2 linked regions of the Nothobranchius furzeri genome follow. The protein of the gene in region 1 purifies or fractionates together with the protein of each later gene. This does not show direct contact. Links are inferred from orthologs where the notes say so. Each region holds a gene or a part of one and is shown in the gene's direction. Other genes may lie near its edges. The genes, in order: lsm1 and patl1.

The links.
Region 2: the proteins of lsm1 (region 1) and patl1 purify together in Homo sapiens (co-immunoprecipitation; 3 studies listed by BioGRID and IntAct, with this or other methods). This does not show direct contact. The link is inferred for Nothobranchius furzeri from reciprocal best matches to the Homo sapiens genes LSM1 and PATL1.

What each region holds. Positions count from the first base shown.
Region 1 is NC_091757.1:36,764,505-36,773,255, reverse strand, and holds lsm1 (U6 snRNA-associated Sm-like protein LSm1), read left to right. Parts: upstream 1-1,250; 5' UTR 1,251-1,381; coding exon 1,382-1,427; intron 1,428-1,553; coding exon 1,554-1,622; intron 1,623-1,760; coding exon 1,761-1,876; intron 1,877-4,248; coding exon 4,249-4,419; 3' UTR 4,420-4,768; downstream 4,769-8,751. Other genes in the region: grk5l (G protein-coupled receptor kinase 5), read left to right, coding at 7,345-7,396. UniProt on the Homo sapiens protein: Plays a role in the degradation of histone mRNAs, the only eukaryotic mRNAs that are not polyadenylated. Probably also part of an LSm subunits-containing complex involved in the general process of mRNA degradation.
Region 2 is NC_091746.1:29,996,414-30,005,371, forward strand, and holds the start of patl1 (protein PAT1 homolog 1), read left to right. Parts: upstream 1-4,213; 5' UTR 4,214-4,332; coding exon 4,333-4,347; intron 4,348-7,005; coding exon 7,006-7,111; intron 7,112-7,295; coding exon 7,296-7,505; intron 7,506-7,591; coding exon 7,592-7,828; intron 7,829-8,072; coding exon 8,073-8,149; intron 8,150-8,958. Other genes in the region: uncharacterized protein, read right to left, coding at 1-325, 488-601, 694-840. UniProt on the Homo sapiens protein: RNA-binding protein involved in deadenylation-dependent decapping of mRNAs, leading to the degradation of mRNAs. Acts as a scaffold protein that connects deadenylation and decapping machinery.

The sequences.
Region 1 (8,751 bases):
CAGAGCTCCACTAGCCGTCTCGCATCCCCCCGCCACCTTGTGGAGAACCCCGGTATTGCACCCCACACTTTCCTATTCTTATTTTATTACTTTTACTAAATTACACCACTAAATGTTTTAACAAAAGTATGTGACCACACTTTGTGGGCGTCACACTTGTCCATGTAAGGCCCTATAGACCAGAACCAGGATCTTGAAATGAACCCTGAAGTTGACTGGCTGCCAGTGAAGCTGGAGGAGAAGCGGGGTGATGTGGGTGTATTTGGAGGACTTTCTCAGAAGCCGAGCACAGGCATTCTGAATCACCTGTAGACGGTTCAGGGAGGTTCTGCTCAGACACGTGAAAAGAGAGTTACAGTAGTCAATGCGTGAGGAGATGAAGGTGTGGAGAACTGTCTCAAGTTCAGACGGAGACAGAATGGGACTCAGCTTAGCAATGTTCCTGAGATGGAAGAAGGAAGAGCGAACAAGAGAACTGACATGAGAATCCAGGGTGAGAGCTGGGTCAAAGGTCACGCCAAGATTCCTGACAGAAGGTTTGGTGTGGGAAGCAAGCTGACCAAGAGAGTCTCTGACTTTGGGAACCAGCTTGTCTGGGGCGCAGATGAGGATCTCAGTCTTATCTTCATTCAGTTGAAGAAAGCTCCCAGCCATCCAGGTTTTGATAGAGTCTAAGCAGGTGTGTAACAGCTGCAGCTTAGACATCTCATGGGGCTCAAAGGAGATGTACAGTTGGATGTCATCTGCATAAAGATGGTATGGAGATTCCTTTGAAGGAGCTCAGGATGTGCTGAAGAGGAAGCAGATAGAGGAGGAAGAGTATACAAAATTTGCTTTTACAATTTCCCATCACCTATACATCAAAATTAAAGTGAATTTTACAGAACAATCAAGAGTGAGGTAAGTATACTTATAAATTTATTAACTTATTATAAAACGCAAGGGAAAAGAAAGAAGAAAATACATTTTACAGTTTAAATGTATCAACTACGTCTTTTGTTTTTACAGCCTTTTTATTATTTGAAGAGATTGAATCCAAATAATAATAATAATAATATTACCATTATATTATTATTATTATTATTATTATTATTATTATTATTATTATTATTATTATTATTATTATTATTTAGGGAGTATAATGCATGGTATGTGCACGCATGCACCGTCTGTAACACTCCACGCCAGAAGGTGGCGGTAGTCAAACATTTGCCAACAGCCAAAAACCACCAAAAAAGAAGAACGGGTTAAACGTTTACAGGAAGTTCACCGTGAGCATGTATAAAGACACTTCCTGTGGTCTTGTTCAATAAACATTTTAAAACATTCATGGCTTGACGGAACACAGGGATATTAAAACGGAGAAAACCTAAAGACCAATATGAATTACGTACCGGGGACTGCAAGCCTTATTGACGACATTGACAGTAAGACAGAAGCTGAATTTTGTAGTTGTTGACATGGTTTAGTAGAAAATGTTTGAGTCTCGATATTTACGTACACAAGCGAGTAAAACGCATATCTAACGTTCATGTTTTGTTTTCCTCCTGCAGAAAAGCACCTGGTGCTGCTCCGAGATGGCAGGACGCTGATTGGTTACCTCAGAAGCATCGACCAGTTTGGTACTCTTATTTTTAAAAGTCCACTTTGTTTTCTAACTCCGCGTCAATACAGATGGAAGCATTTCTAATTAATCGGTCAGCTGATGATCTCCGCACCTTATATTTCATTTCAACTGATTTTCTGCTTCTGTTCTTCAGCCAATCTGGTGTTTCACCAGACCGTAGAGAGGATCCACGTGGGGAAAAAGTTTGGTGACATCCCCAGAGGCATCTTCATCGTCAGAGGAGAAAATGTAGTTCTGCTTGGAGAGATAGTAAGCTCATTTTTTAAAATCTGAGATATTTTTATTTAGATCTTTTATACTTCATTTATTATGTCCCTATCCCAAAATGGGGTCAGCAAATGGAAATGAATTAAGAAGACATTCTTTATTTCTGCATAAACATTCTTCCTTAATTTTTACTTTGAGTTATACCTCACACAGAGTGCACGTGATGACGTATGAGAAGTTAAAGGTGGTGTTTGGAACAGCCACAGCTTGGAGAAAAATGTTGTTTTCGACGGAGTAACACACGCTTATGGCTAGTCCGAGTGGGGTCACAAAGTGTTTTTGCCAAATTAACCAAACCCAAAATATTTTATAGTATTCCATGCAACTTCTATTTTGTTAAATGCACGGCACCTCTTGGAGCATTTCTGTGGGAAATTAACAGAAATGAACTGCATCTCCAGCTATTGTAACATTTTTTTGGCTGGAATTTTATTATGATTCTGCTGGAATAAACACACATTTAAGGGAATGTTCACTTTTTAATATGCTGAGAAATTTTGAAGATGAGAATTTGTGACTTTTTTTTTTCACTTTAATGCTCAATCATAACTAATCAGTTTCTCCGAACCAAAGCAATTCTATGAGCTACAGTCAATAAGTTGGATATCAGCGGTCTACAACTTTTCCACATCCGTCCCACTTAAAAAGATGAGAACTGGCCCTTTAAGGTCTGTTTTAGTAGTATTAAATAAGCTACCTGCTTATATTATGTCTTATATTATTCAGGGCACATTTTTCTGTTTAACTGGGAAAAATTCAGATTTTTTTCCAAGTAATTTTCTGCCAAGCAGCTAATGAGTAGTTGGCGTCTTACCTGCGGTGGACAGTCGGGATCGTATTTAGATCTCATGATGAAGTCCAGCGCTTACTCAGCAGAATTATCCTCATCACACACTTTAAACTAGATTATAGAGTTTTACATTGCTGCACAGCAGCAGACTGCTGAGCTGGCTTTGGTTAGCTGAAGTGATTCACACAGACACCGTTCCTACCCAGAGTAAATGGACAGATGCAACAGTGCTCTCCACCACCCTGCATGGACAAGCAGGTACTGATAACGGATGGATGGGTGCAACAGTGCTGTAGTGTGGAGAAAATAAAGAACTGCAATAAGCATTTCCTCCTCAGACGCTATGGAAACCTTGTAGGGAGATCTGTGCTTAAATGGGTCTTTTTCTGAATAGTTTGACTTGATCTCAGAAATGAAGCTTTGCAAATTTCTTCTAGAGCCAAATTTAATAAACGGGAGAATATATTTATTTTTAAAGTCACATGCTGTTTTGATTACAGTGCTTGGTAAACTTTGACAAAAAAGGACAATGCACTATTTGACATCTGTATTTTACTCTTACTTTACTTGAACTTTTCCCCAGTATTGTAATTTGATTAAAATCTGCGCTCCTTGGCAGGCTGATGTAATGGGTGAAGACTTAAAGATAAATGGCTCATATGCATATTTTTAGGTAATGCAGAGAAACTATTATCACTACTTAATGATACAGGTGCTGTTTTAAGGATTTAAAGCTCAGTAATGTTTAGTTGAGGGGGGGTGGGTGGTAATCTCGGTATGAGCGGACTTATGGGAAAGCTATCTTGGGGTTTTACCTCCAGTGAACAGATTTTGATTTTGTTTTAAACGAAATATTCATTGCAGAGGGGCCAATTAAAAATATAACCGTTTATGTAGCGTCTATGATTGAATTTTACTACTTTATCCATTATTTTCACAGCTGATTTCTATATTTATCTTTTTGTGAGTAATTTTTTTTTTACTCTCCTGGTGTAATTTAGGGTTATGAAGTTTAACTTGTGAGAGAGATTCTTGAGCTGATCTTTGCAGTGACCCATTCCAGGGGCTGAGGACCTTCTAGGCCAGCACACAGAACAAGCGTGACTCATGATCTCCAACTTATCTCGCTCTACAAATGTACATCATGCAAATCTGCACTGACACCAGTACAGCCTGTACTGGTGGAGCGTCTACAGCACACAGTGACACTTCTTGTTACCAACATGTATGTAAGGATGGGCATCTTAATTTTGCTTTGCAAGATGTTCTCATCGCTTTGAGCTTCATGGAAGAATTAAGTTATGTCCTGTTACTCACTTATCACTCATTACTAATTTATTTTCAATTTAAATAGCTGAAAATAAGCTGTTAGGCAGTGATTCCCTCTATATGACAGGTTTGCTGCTCTTCACTTAAACAACTAGCCATCACAACTCAGACTAGTACAAGAGTGGAAGTTTGAACCATGTGAGGGATGCAAGCCTGCCAGAACATTTAGTATCACTTAGCCACAATTTGGCTTTGAGTTTGCTGTTTGACCTTGGATGTGTCTGCATCCCTGCAGGATGTGGATAAACCCTGTGACACGGTCTTGCAGCAGGTCTCCATCGAGGAGATCCTGGAGGAGCAGCGACAGCAGCAGCAAACCAAGCAGGAGACGGAGAAGGTCAAAATGCAGGTGCTAAAGGACCGAGGCCTTTCCATTCCCAAAGCGGATAACATGGACGAGTACTGATGTCGCCATTTTTCACGAGCGTCTTTCTCAGTTTGTATCAGACTGCTACATTTACGTTGGAAATTAGTGTTTTTGTCTTTTAATTCCCAGTTGGCTAAAGACGGCATCATTTAATTTTCATTTAGTATTGAATATTTTGTTTTAAAAGGAAAAGATGATCTGCTGTTTTATTTTTTGGTAATTCATGTCAGCGCATTAAATGGTATTGGATCATGATCATTATGTTGGTAATCCTTTCACAGAAACACTTTGTGATTATATTATTTTGCTATGATGTCTTCTGTTGTGGAGATTTGTGAGTCTGCTTTTGACAAACATTACTTTCCACCAATAAAGATTTTAGTTTGTATTTATGGAGCATATGCTTGTGGAAAGAAATAAAAATCCCTGAAACCCCCTGCAAGAACCCAACCCCACCAGCATTACCGTCAGATTCAGCATGGCTGTTCTCTTGTTCCATGTACTCACTAGAGGCAGATTTCATTTGGATAATTGAGTTGAAGCATATCAGTGCATCGGACAGCTTCCTGTTGTAGAGAGGACGGGTTGGAGAAATCGATCCTATTAGGCTTCATCAGTCCCTATAAGTCTGGATGGATGATGATGATGCAACGGGCAGGGAGCAGCTTCTGTTGCATCAGCATCTACTCTAAACTTCATCTGGTTCTTTTATTAAACAGTAGAGAACAGGAGGAAAATTTGAGTTTAATGTGAGATCAAGCTTTTTATTCTTAGAACTGTGATTTCCTGTCTGCTTTCAAAATAAAACTCTTCCCCGTAAGGCTTTACACCATCTTGGAAAGTGGGATTATGTGGAAGAGTTGATTTCTTGTTCTCTTGGAGAAACAGATTAGTTCTGATTAAACAGACGAGTTAACGGCTTGACTAAACAGGGCTGCAGAGCATCTTAAAACCATTTGTCTCCAACACTTTAAAGCACTTTTGGAGATGATATTTAATCGCTTTCACCACTGTAATTTTCACACACAGTTATTCTGGTAGAGTTATGACATCCCAGCTTATGGTGCTAGAGCCACACAGCTAATTTCTGCTGCAAATAACCGAGTTCTATGTAAAAAGTGAACTAAATAATGCTTTTATAAACCCCTAATGTTTTAATATGAGTATTAACTTAAGACAGCAGGAATGCTTCGCAACCGGCCCTTTTCAGACCAGCCATTGGCATGTTCTTTCTATAGGAGGCGCTCTGCGTTTTTCCAAACTGAGGTTGTTTAAAGACAACATGCAAGATGTTAATTGTTCACAACCTTTTAACTAAAATGCACTTTAAAAAAACAGAAATACCATTTCAAGAGCATTCTTATCAGTAACACATTTTAACCTTCGTAGTAATGTTGTGTTTTAAGAAAAAAGGTTTAAACATGAACACAATTATAGTAGCTGGCAACTGGTTTTAATTAATGCAGCTTTAAATATTTATTAAAATTTATTTGAGCATAGCTAAGCTGATAGGTCCTATTTAGTTTTAACACAGATGATTTTTGGCTCTTGCTGAATTAAAAGTTTTTTATATTATTTGGAAAGGCTGCATTTGTATAGATTTATTTTTCTGCCAGGTCTGAATGACTTAGATGCCCATTCTAAAGCTGCTCTCTTTAAATCAAAATGGGTTTGTGTCATGAATGTACACTTGAGCTTTAGCCCTTATGCAGACTGCAGCTTATGGAAAAGCAATGGCTGCATTTACAAATGACTGGGTTTGCCAAACTCTCCCCAGGGTAGTTTTTCCAAACAAAAATCAACACGAGATGCAAAATATAGTTATTTTAAAAGCTGCTAAATATCAACTTAGCCAAGCTGTCATATGAGTGGTCTTGTACTAATGGCAGAATTATGCTAAAGTAGATCATGTGCAAAAATCACTCCAGGGTTATTAAGTATTTTCACATATACACAGTCCTGCAATAGGAACTGTAAAGATGCTGCATGGCTTGCCAAAAATAATTTGTTAATATCTGTTATTTTTGGGTAGTTTATGCTTTTTAAATTTCCGAGATCCAGATGTGGGCCACATGGTGGTGCAGTTGGTAACAGCAAGAAGGTTGACTGGTTGAATCCCCCTTTGCAGCCTTTCAGTGTGGAGTTTGCATGTTTTCCCCGTGAATGCATGTGTTTTCTTCGGGTGCTCGTGTTGTCCTCCCACAGACCAAAGACACGCATGTTAAAAAAATAATAATAAACTAATTTATCCGTAGTTGTTAGTGAATGTCACTGGTTGGTCTCCCTGTGTGGCTTAGTGATGGACTGGAGACCTGTCCAAGGTGTCCCCCGGTTTCTCATGACTGCTGGAGGTAGACACCAGCCCATGTGACCTTATTGAGGGGTGAGGGAGAGATCAGGAGCCAGATAAGTCACAATAGTCGCAGAGCTTTTATTTTGGTGAAACGTTCCGGTGGCGTTAATCAGTGCGTCTTGACGCTTCTGTGTAATTTAGGCCCAGCCTGATTACGCACCAACTCCGGAGGAGGGGGCGCTCTGGTGTCCTCTCTGGTGCACTCAGCCAACCCCTGCCGCCGCTGTTGCTCTCCTGCTGTATCCGAGTGAAGGATCTCCTCAGATCAACCCGGTTTCATCAACATCGGATTCCTCCAAGTTAATGCTTTTCTGCATCGGAGAGATCTGGCATCCAAACCACGCATGGAACGGTTTTTGGGGAATTGGAGTCGAAATGCAGCGCCGTACTTCCAGCCCACAACAAGAACCATGCCCAATTTACACTGCAAGCAAATCTATGACATCCTGTTTTATCCTTTACGACTTTGATAGGAGTGAAATTTGCTCGGATATCGTCGAGGAGTGAAATCGAGGAGATCGCGCCGTGCCAGCAGGAAAGGACGCTGTTCTCGCTGCAGACGCTCGAGTACCGAAAAAAAACCCTCTGCATTCAGGATTTTTCAGCTTTTCATGGAGCTGGAGAACATAGTAGCCAACACTGTACTGCTAAAAGCGAGAGAGGGTAAGTGGAATGGTATAAACTCAACTCTGTGCGAATGGCAGACAGGGCCCCTGCTTTGTGACATTTTGCGCTCTGCATGCAGAAAAAGTGGGAATGATCGCAGGGATAACGGCAGCCTGCGGATTGTGCGGCTCAGGTAAATCCGGCAGATGCAACAGAAAACAGAGAGGGTCTTATGTAAGACATCACAGCAGCGGCGGATCACAGTTCAGCTCGTTAACAACGAAATCCTCCCAAAACATGTCTGTCATTGTTTTATCCTCGCTAATTTTGACAGATCGTTTCCCCGCAGATGTGAGGGGAGGGTCTGCCTCCCACATCCGCTTTCGCTGTCTGTGCAAACGAAGGCGGCTCTTTCGCAACATTCTGAATGCTGAAGCGCACACAAGGCAGGGAATAAACTCCCCCAGAGAGGGGACGCACGAGGGGAGGCTGGCTGGCATTTGGACAGTGAGCTGATGACGTGACTGCTGCTAAAATCTATGCAAGAGGGGCCCCTGCAAAAGAGAGGCACACACACGAGGAGGGGGAGTCAAATGTCTGAAGGCCACATGCAGCTGATGGCAGCATCGCTGATGTCCTGTTCTAGTGGAAGAGTTTGCTTATTATCTGGAGTCAGACTCTGCAGGTTTCTGCTGCCATTCGTGGTGGTAGGGTGATCAACGATCCCATGTTTGTTAGAAGGTTCATGTCAGACCTGATTTGCATAAAGTTCCACCTGAATTCAGTAAAAATAGAAATCATGACTGGATCAAAACTGAAAATAATAAAGAATTTAACAAAAATTATTTCTAAACTTATAGAAATGTTCAACTTTCTTTACATTTAATTATGCAGATAGGGTTGAAAATAGTGTGTGTGTGTGTGTGTGTGTGTGTGTGTGTGTGTGTGTGTGTGTGTGTGTGTGTGTGTGTGTGTGTGTGTGTGTGTGTGTGTGTGTGTGTGTGTGTGTGTGTGTGTGATTATATTCTCCTGATTTGGAAACACTGTTTTCTTCCAGCAATGTGGAGATGAATTGGGGAAGTTTAGAGAGGCACTGTTGCAAAAACCTTTCAACAAGTTGGGGGTGATGGGGCCCACCTAAACGAAAATCCAGAATAAAATTTCAGGAAATTTATTACACTGTTGTTTATATAAGAGTAAGGGAAACACCTTCTGCAGCAGGCCTATTAGTGTTGTACTCAACGTCTTTACATCAAAGGAAAGAAGCACTGATAATGGTCCCCCGGGTCTCCCTTTGGTGCAGTCATGTTCTTATCATCTAAAGTGAAGACTACCATTGATAGATCCCCGGAAAAGAAAAAAAAATCCTATTATCAGCCAGTCCCAAGAATGAAAACCAATATTAGTTGTGA
Region 2 (8,958 bases), on another chromosome or scaffold:
GGTCTGAGTTCTGCGTCTCCACATCTCCATAGTAACCCATCTGTGTGAGGAAGGTGCTGAGCTCTTGCTGTGGGTTCTGCAGGGCTTGGATGAGCTCAGGGAGGATTTCGTGGGTCCTGTCATATTGGAACCTCCCATAGCGCTCGTCGTCGTGTTCTGTGATGTACACCTTCTCCACCTTTCTGTTCTTGACCTGGTAGCTGATGATGATGCGGTCGATGTTGGCGCTGCTGTCCATCTCATAATTTTCCCTCACAAACTTTGGGAGTTCTGCAGATTTTGGGTAGGTCTTGGTGTTCAGGTTTCCGACCACGTAGTACACCAGCTGGGTGGAGAGAGAAAAACAGAACCATTAAGAGAAACATTCAACTGGGCTGAGTGAAAATCTGGGTTCCAAACTGGTTCTGTTAAGATCAGAGCAGAAAACACTTCTGGTGGGTCAACTGAGGGAGGAATAAGCCCATCCTGATGGGATATGTGTGCAGACCTGTCTCCTGCTCTTTTTGTTCTTGTGTTTGCAGAGAACAGGCAGGATCTCCTCCGTGTTCCCAAAGTGGTGGAACCCGTAGACGCCGTTCTCTGGCTGACAGTCGGACGCCAGCTGTGAGACCAGATCACAAAGTAGAACATCCAAACAGAGGAGTAAAACATGATGCTCAGGAACACGATCTGCTCAAAGATTTATGATCTGACCTTCATGACATCTTCAAAGTCACCTGGGTCAAAGGTCAGACAGTGGTTGGCGAACCAGTACAGCAGCTGGAGCCCATGTCGTGGAGGAGGACAACCAAACCCGCAGATGTTCAGGTGATCTAGGGTGAAGAGCTGCCACTTCACCATGACACCAGCAGCAGCTCCTAACACTGGGATCACTGGAGGGAATGGTCACAAGCTGTTATGGTAATTGGAAGGTTAATGCCTCAGATGTGACTCCTAATCTGGACTGACTGCAGAGTGAAACTGCATTATTTAATAGAGTTCACAGACTTCTGTTGCTCCTGATTTGAATAAATGATTTGGGTTTTTTTACCGGTTTGACTGATGAGATGAATCTAGACTAGCATGGTCCTGCTCTAGATCCCGAGAGTCTCCGATGTTTCAGCCTGGGATGAAAAACAGACAAACAAACAATTCAAATCTACAGATTAAAACGCTGCTCACAGATAAGCTTTGTGTTTTTTGACACATGTACATTTTAATAGGCTAAAACATGAGAAATTTAAAACACATAATTGTGGTTTAAGAACCTAACCGTTAAAGTCTGAAAAATAAAATAATAATATAATAATATTGTTTTAAAGTGGATTATTTATTGTCTAATGTTAATATAATAACATCATAAAAACGTGTCATAAACAAATGACCTCGGCCCTCACCACCTGTACACCCTCCACCTGGAGGCAACATACCTGTATGGGACTGTAACTGGTTTCTGATGAAGGTACTAATCCTGATGCAACACCAGGATGATTTAGAGCCACAAGTGCTTTGATGGAAATTTCAGCCACTCTTCTATTAGATTTAAATTTAAGCTTTAAGAGGCAATGTGTAGATTTTACCATTAACCTCTGGAAATATCCATTAAAATGTTGTTGAAAATGGATGAAACGATGCCCAGTTGTTGGGAAATACTGGCAGCTTCATAACATATAACCATAAAAATCAGGTCTAAAGCCTGATTTATACTTCTCCGTGAGCTCCGCAACAGAGAAACACACATGGGGTGTCGGAAAGGTTTTCACATTCGAACTTCTGTTCAGGCAGCAGAGTGTTACAAAGTAAGAAGTTTTGGGAAGAAGCCCATTGTTGGTGAAGAAATAAAATAAGAGAAGTTGATCGTTTTACAAATGAAGATATTATTATTTACAATTCTAAATTAAATGGGAATATTTCATCGTTAATTAACATTATTATTATTATTATGGGTAAATAATAACACACACACACACACACACACACACACACACATACACATTATACAAAAAGGAAATAGTGGTTGAACCAATAATGGGGTAAACATTTCTGAATGTAAACAACTACCTCTGCATAGAAATTGCACACACCTGCTGCTATATGTTTTGTATATTATTAGCGATATTTACCTGTTTAATATTATCTTATTGTTAGGGATGTTTTTTGTTTTGTTATTGTTGTGCATCTGCACTTTATGTAAATGTCTACGCATGGGACAGTGGGAAACGTAATTTCAATTCCTTGTATGGCAAGCACATTCGAAGAATTGACAAATAAAGTATTCTATTCTATTCTATTCTATTCTATTCTATTCTATTCTATTCTATTCTAAATACCACATCCACAAAAGCAAATGGAAAAAACAACTGCCAAACATGAACTGCATCATGAAGGAATTTCGTATGTTCTTATTCACTTTGACTCGTATAAAAAATTCAAATGTAATTGCAAAAGCCATTTGTCATGCTGCAGAAAAGTGTTTCATCTTGTAACACGGTTTTTACTTAGTGATATAAGTGCCTCTTTTTTAAGTTTCTTATTTGTTTTTCTTTTATTGTTACTAAGGATGCCTTGCATGTTTCCATTATGTGTTGTTGTCTCCACGAGAAACTGTAATAAGCATATGTTGATAATAACAAAAAAGAGTGTTACAAAGCAATTCCCCAGCAGGACAACAGAGGGCGTAGCGCTTTTCTGTGGTATCTTGCCACCATAACACTAACGTATCCAGTCCCCGATAGTGTATTTACTAATATGTTTATTTATTTCAGAGACTTTATAACAGGGCCAAATTTGTCCTTCATTCTCGTCCACCTCTTCATGCGAACGCCACCTCTAAACCCACATTTCCCATCGCTTCCGTCCACGTTTGCTCTGTATTTTGTACTCCTTCATTCATGGGTGAATAAATGTTGATAATTTTTGGACTTTTTCCGTGATGCGTTCTTCAATCTGTTCGAGGTCTGCTGCTAAATATTGGCTAAATATCTGGTTACTTTTTAACGAAGTTACAGCGGTGCTGATGACAAATATACAGGAAGCAGCGTCCTGACCAATCACAGGCTTGCAGTCTCCGTCACTTTCGACGGATGTTTAAAATTTTGGGCTTGTCTCCGTCACCCTCTGTGAGCCTGTCGGAGAGCCCTTGCGCCGACTTATAATGGTGCTGCGTGTCTCCGCATTGATGCAGACGGAGAAGTATAAATCAGGCCACACATGGGAGTGGGTCTAAGTCTCTGGGCGACGGCTTATTTGATGCAATGTGTCCTTCTACGGGAGCCCATGAGGACAAATTTCATTTACTGATTAGCAACAAGCGGTTACAAAACTTTTGTCATTCTTAAATGTTGTTTTACACATGTACATCTTCACTTGTTGCCAGTGATGAAAGAGTGTCTGAGGGTGACGGTGGCACAGGAGTTAAGTGCTCGCCCCGTAATCGGAAGGTTGCAGGTTCGAGCCCCGCTCAGTCTGTCGCTGTCGTTGTGTCCTTGGGCAAGACACTTAACCCACGTTGCCTGCTGGTGGTGGTCGGAGGGACCGGTGGCGCCAGAGCTCGGCAGCCTCGCCTCTGTCAGTGCGCCCCAGGGCAGCTGTGGCTACATCGTAGCTCATCCCCACCAGTGTGTGAATGTGTGTGTGAATGGGTGAATGACTGATTGTGTTGTAACGTGCCTTGGGGGGTTCCAGGACTCTAGAAGGTGCTATATCAAATAAAGGCCGTTTACCATTTACCATTTATTTTGCAAAAGTTTACACTCCCCAGGGCTTTTTGACCCTAATGGATATCCGTTGGCATGGTCTTACTCCAACACAAAAAAACTGCTTGCAACGATTTAGGTATCTACCGCCCCCTATCGCCAGGAAAAATACACACTGTCACTTTAAGTGTTTGTTATATAACACATTTATAATTACACTTTTTCAAGAGGTCATGTGATACTTTTTACCTAAAAGCTGAAATATCATTATTATGCATGATTTATAAAACAAGGATTTAAAATATTCTGCTTCCCAGACTCACCTGATGTTTGACAGCAATTCATTAATCTGCCTGTTTCGCTAAATGCATTTAGTTAACATAAATAATGAAAGGGGTCGAAAACAAAAACATTCAGAAAACAAAACCAGGCTCATATCAATAAAAACATATTTGTTTACCGTGTCTCTCCGTTTTCTGTGTTTACTGTCCTTCTTCCTGTTTTTCCAGCGTAGCCTCAACGTCACCAGCAGCCACGCAGTTACGTGCTCGTTCACTGTGCTGTCACGCGCTTAAGTGAAAGACGTCCCGTCCCCGCTGCGTCGTTTGCGCGCAGCTTCGCTCCTGATGCTCTCCTTTTCCCGACAACCTGAGGATCGATGTTTCGATTTCAGGTGAGCATTGGTCCGTGTAAGTGAGCCTGGACCCCACCAGAACCGGGAGGTTTGTGTGTATCGAATGTTCTCTTGTGGTTCTGGTCCGCGTGAGGCTTCTGGCCTTTGTTTATGCGGCTGCCAGACTTCAATGCGGTCTGCGGCCTGTGAAGCAGCCCGCTTTCCTGGTGACGTGAGCCGGAGGGACGGCTAGCCTCCCCGTCCTCTGTCGGCCCAGATAACCCGGCTGTGTGATTCGTATCGTGTTGCTGTACAGGGCCAGACTGCGGTCACTAACCCGACATGATTTTATTTGACAGATTTTCTACTGATGTGTTTTATGTGATGTAATGTCCAGGTTAGCACCGAAGCTAACTGGTCCTCGGGCTGTCTGCAGGATGTCTGAGGGTCGCGTGCAGCTTTTCTGCTTCACCGTGATTTAAGTTTAGATTATCAGTAAAGGAAACCCCCACTAGCTTCATTTACAGTCATCTTTAGTTCTGCATTTAGACTCTTAGCAAATGTAGAGCAAGAGTTGGGACTGGGTTATTCTAGACCCTTTGACTGATGAGATAAAATTAGGTAAAAAGGTGGTCTTAACAGGTACTTGTAAACTTTTCAATTCAAGTTTATTTATAAAGCGCCAAATCACGACAAGAGTTGTCTCAAGGCACTTCACATAATAAACATTCCAATTCAGGTCAGTTCATTAAGCCAATCAGAAAAAAGTTTCCTATATAAGGAACCCAGCGGGTCGCATCAAGTCACTGACTAGTGTCTGTGACTATACAGCAATCCTCATACTTAACAAGCATATAGCTACAGTGGAGAGGAAAACTCCTTTTTAACAGGAAGAAACCTCCAGAGGATCCTGGCTCGGTATAAGCAGCCATCCTCCACGACTCACTGGGAATGGAGAAGATCTAAAGTGGTTTCCTGTTCAGTCTGAGACTCTGAACCTTTCCTATTTAGGTCCTTATTATCTACAAAAATCAACAAACCTGTGCGGCAGCTCACCAGGCTCTGCAGCAGCCTGTTAATCACAGCAGATTCAAACCAGGTGTGTTTAAGCAGAGAAACAACTAAAACCTGCTGGATAGCGGCCCTCTAGGGCCAAGCCCCCCCCCAGTTCTACACCATGGAGCAACCAGCTTTTACTTTTTAACATAACAGAAACCTGATCTTGACTCAGTCCAGAGGTGGTGGTGACCTCTTTAGACTATCTGGGATTGACCAAACTCACTGGGAAAATGGGAATTACAACGGTCTTCCAAGTTTTTGTTGGAGGAATTGGACTCCATATGGACTGGAACCAAAGAAGAGGATCATCCAGACTGGTGTCAGCACCAGGTCCAAAACCCAGGTTCTGTAGTGGATGTGGACCTGTGTTCTGTAAGGGTACGGGTTTGGATCCGGGTATTTTGTCTTCATGTCTTCTGAATCGGGACTCTAACAAATTTTGCAGGACGAAATATTGTCCAACAAGTTATTGACAATAAATGATATTATTGTCGACGTTATCGAGATAACCACTAATGTAATGTTAATCATTCATATTAATGCAAGTACATCCTTTAAAATGCAACAATTAAGCCTTTAACTTCAGTGATATGTTTTCGGCAGTAATGAAACGTCTGAGCTCTGCCTGGTTCCTTTGAGGTCGTAGAGATCTACGTTATTGATTATAGACAATTTCTGAAAATACAGATCTCTAGCCTCCATCACGGTTTTATTCCTGTTAGGAAACCTTGTTGTTTTTTATCCATCTTCTTGACTCTTGTTCTGCTTCAACTTCATCTGCGCCGCGGCTTCCCCTAACATTAGGAGTCACATGGCGCTGGTTCTCCCACGCTCCGCTTGGCCTTGAGTCGGAAAGGGGTGTGTCTTCTCCTGGTCTGGGACTGAACAAGTATCTCGGATTCTCGTTCATGAGTGAGGAAAAGATGGAGCATGAGATCGACAGGCGGATTGGTGCGATGCAGTGATGTAGGCGTTGTACCGGTCTGTCGTGGCCAAAAGAGCAGAGCAAGAAGCCAAAGTTCTGGATTTCTTGGTCGATCTACGTTCCATGGTCGAAATGAGTTTTCTCCAGGGTGGCCGGGTTCTTCCTTAGAGCTAGAGAGGAGCCAGTTGAGGTGGCTTGAGCACCTGGTTAGGATGGCTCTTGGATGCCTCCTTGGTAAGGTTTTCTGGGCACGTCCAACCATGTGGAGACCTAAAGGAAGACCCAGGACACGCTGGAGGGACTGCGTTTTTCGACTGGCCAGGGAACACTTTGGGTTTCCCCCGGAGGATCTGGTCCACGTGGCTGGGGAGAGGGAAGTCTGGGCCTCCCTGCTTAAGCTGCTGCCCCCATGACCCGACCCCTTATAATGGGAAGAGATTGGATGGATGGATGGAGACATACGATTTGCTGTTGTGACCCTTGAAGGGACAAGCCAGAAGATATGAAAACTGTAAAATTACAACAAGCTGAATCGATTTTCTGAATATTTCGGCAAATAAACTGGAAATCATTTCAGGATTATTAGTTTTGAAAGTAATGAAGCTACTCGTGATTGTGTTTGGTCCCGTGTGCAGAGAAGATGTGCGTGTTTTCGTTGATTTAGCATTTTTTTATGTTTAGTTCGCATTCCTCCTGGTTCCTAACTCATCCGCTCTTCCTGTTTGCCCGGTCAGTCCCTGGATGACGACTGTACGCTGGAGGAGGAAGATGATGGACTAATAGAAGAGGAAGATGAAATAGATCAGTTCAACGATGACACCTTCGGAGCTGGCGCCATCGGTGAGTCTCACATGAAACATGCTGGAAGTTTTGATTTCATGTGATCTTTGCTGATCCGACACCATTTTGGTCGGAACCCTTTTTTAGGGTTTGGTGGTTTTATTGATATTTTTTATTATAAAAATCTTCCCTAAAAGCAGCTTTAGGAAGCTGACAAACTTCCATCTTTTCCTTCCTCCTCCAGATGATGACTGGCAGGAGGAACACAAGCGCCTGGCTGAGCTGGATGAGCGTGTTGGGTTAGGAGGAGGTGAGGTTGAAGGGGAGGTGGATTCAGGCGGGTCCAAGCCCGGGTCCTCCATCCACCGCCCCTCCTCTTCAGTAAACCCCCCCCTTCAGTCTTCCCTTCCTCCCTTCGGTTTCTCCTCGTCTTCCCCTGGGCTGCCACCACAAGGTTCGTGACGTCGTTGCCCAGTATTCATCACCTGGTTCTCGCTGAAATGTAATGTCTTTATGACGTCCTGTTTGAAACTCTTTCAGATGCAGACGACCGAGCCAGAGAAGGCGGACTGGCCGAGTCGCTGGCCCGACTCATCCTGGAGGCAGACCCGGCCATCGCTGGTGTGGGGGCAGCCGAGAGGCCCCGTCCATCTCCCAGCTCCTCAGCATCCAGCCTGTCAGTTCTGCACAGTCTGGATCAGCCCAGAGTCCTGCCGCAGTCCTCCTCCATCCCTCACCAGCGCCAACCCCAGCTGCCTCCAGGCCCCATCACTTCAGGTCAGCTTGACAGCATCAATCAGAATCCAGTTTGTCCTTCATGGTGGTGAAACGGGTCATAGAAAGAAGCTTTTATTACTCTGGAAACTGTTCCGTCCACGAGTCGCTGATTAGAGATGCACAAGCGCCAGAGGCACCTCTGCTGACGGGTGCATCTAGAAGTGGAGCTCACGCTGTCGCCGTCGCAGGTACACACAGGATCCAGAAATACCTGACCTAACAGACTCTCGTTGCTCCTCTGCAGGTCTTCCTTCCTCTTCGATGCTGAGCTACCAGCAGCAGCAGCAGCTGCTGCGGCGCGGCACCGCTCCCATGGGCCAGGTGAGTCCAGGTCACGGTGCGTCTGTGGGAACATCCTGAACTCCTTTAAGGTGTTGAATGTTTTGTATAGACACGTTTCTGTGTCATATCATCACAAAGCTGCTGGGAACAGGAAACGGGTCAGAACTAGGGTTGTCACGGTAACCGGTGTAGCGGTAAACCCGGTAAAAAAGTAGACAATAATAATAACCGTCTTGCTTTTTAAAAACTATATTATGTCGGTGGGTTAGCGTGGCTGCGGTGTAGGCGCGGTGACCCTTACCAGCCACCGTATCATCTGCTGAAGTTGCCGGCGGCACATGCGCACTTTGTTGTTTACAACCAAAACTTTCTTGAAGCTAAAGCTGAAATAATGGCCAAAGGAGGAGACGGCAGCGCTCAGGACATTTATTATCCCTCAAAGAAGACAAAGTGGGAAGTACGGGCATTTTTTGGATATCTGAAGAATGCCGAGGGACAGCTGATAGAAGACGGCTATCCTGTTTGCAGCGCGTGCAGAAAAAGTGTCTGTGAAAGGCAGCAACGCTTCAAATCTCATGACACATCTGCGTGACCATCACCCACAACTCTACAGTCAACGCAAGGCAAGCTAACGTTAGCGTTTTAGCTAAAATGCGTGATCCGAGGATTTGGGTTGAGGGAGAACGCAACGAGTCGCTATATAAAGCAGCCGCAGCGCCGCTACCTGCATATAAACCGTGTCGCGGACACCGCCATGTTGAAATGACGCTATGCATTACGGGGCTCCCAGGGGCAGATAAGAGTTGGTCTCTCTCCGAGAATAATTATGAATTTAACAACGATTACTG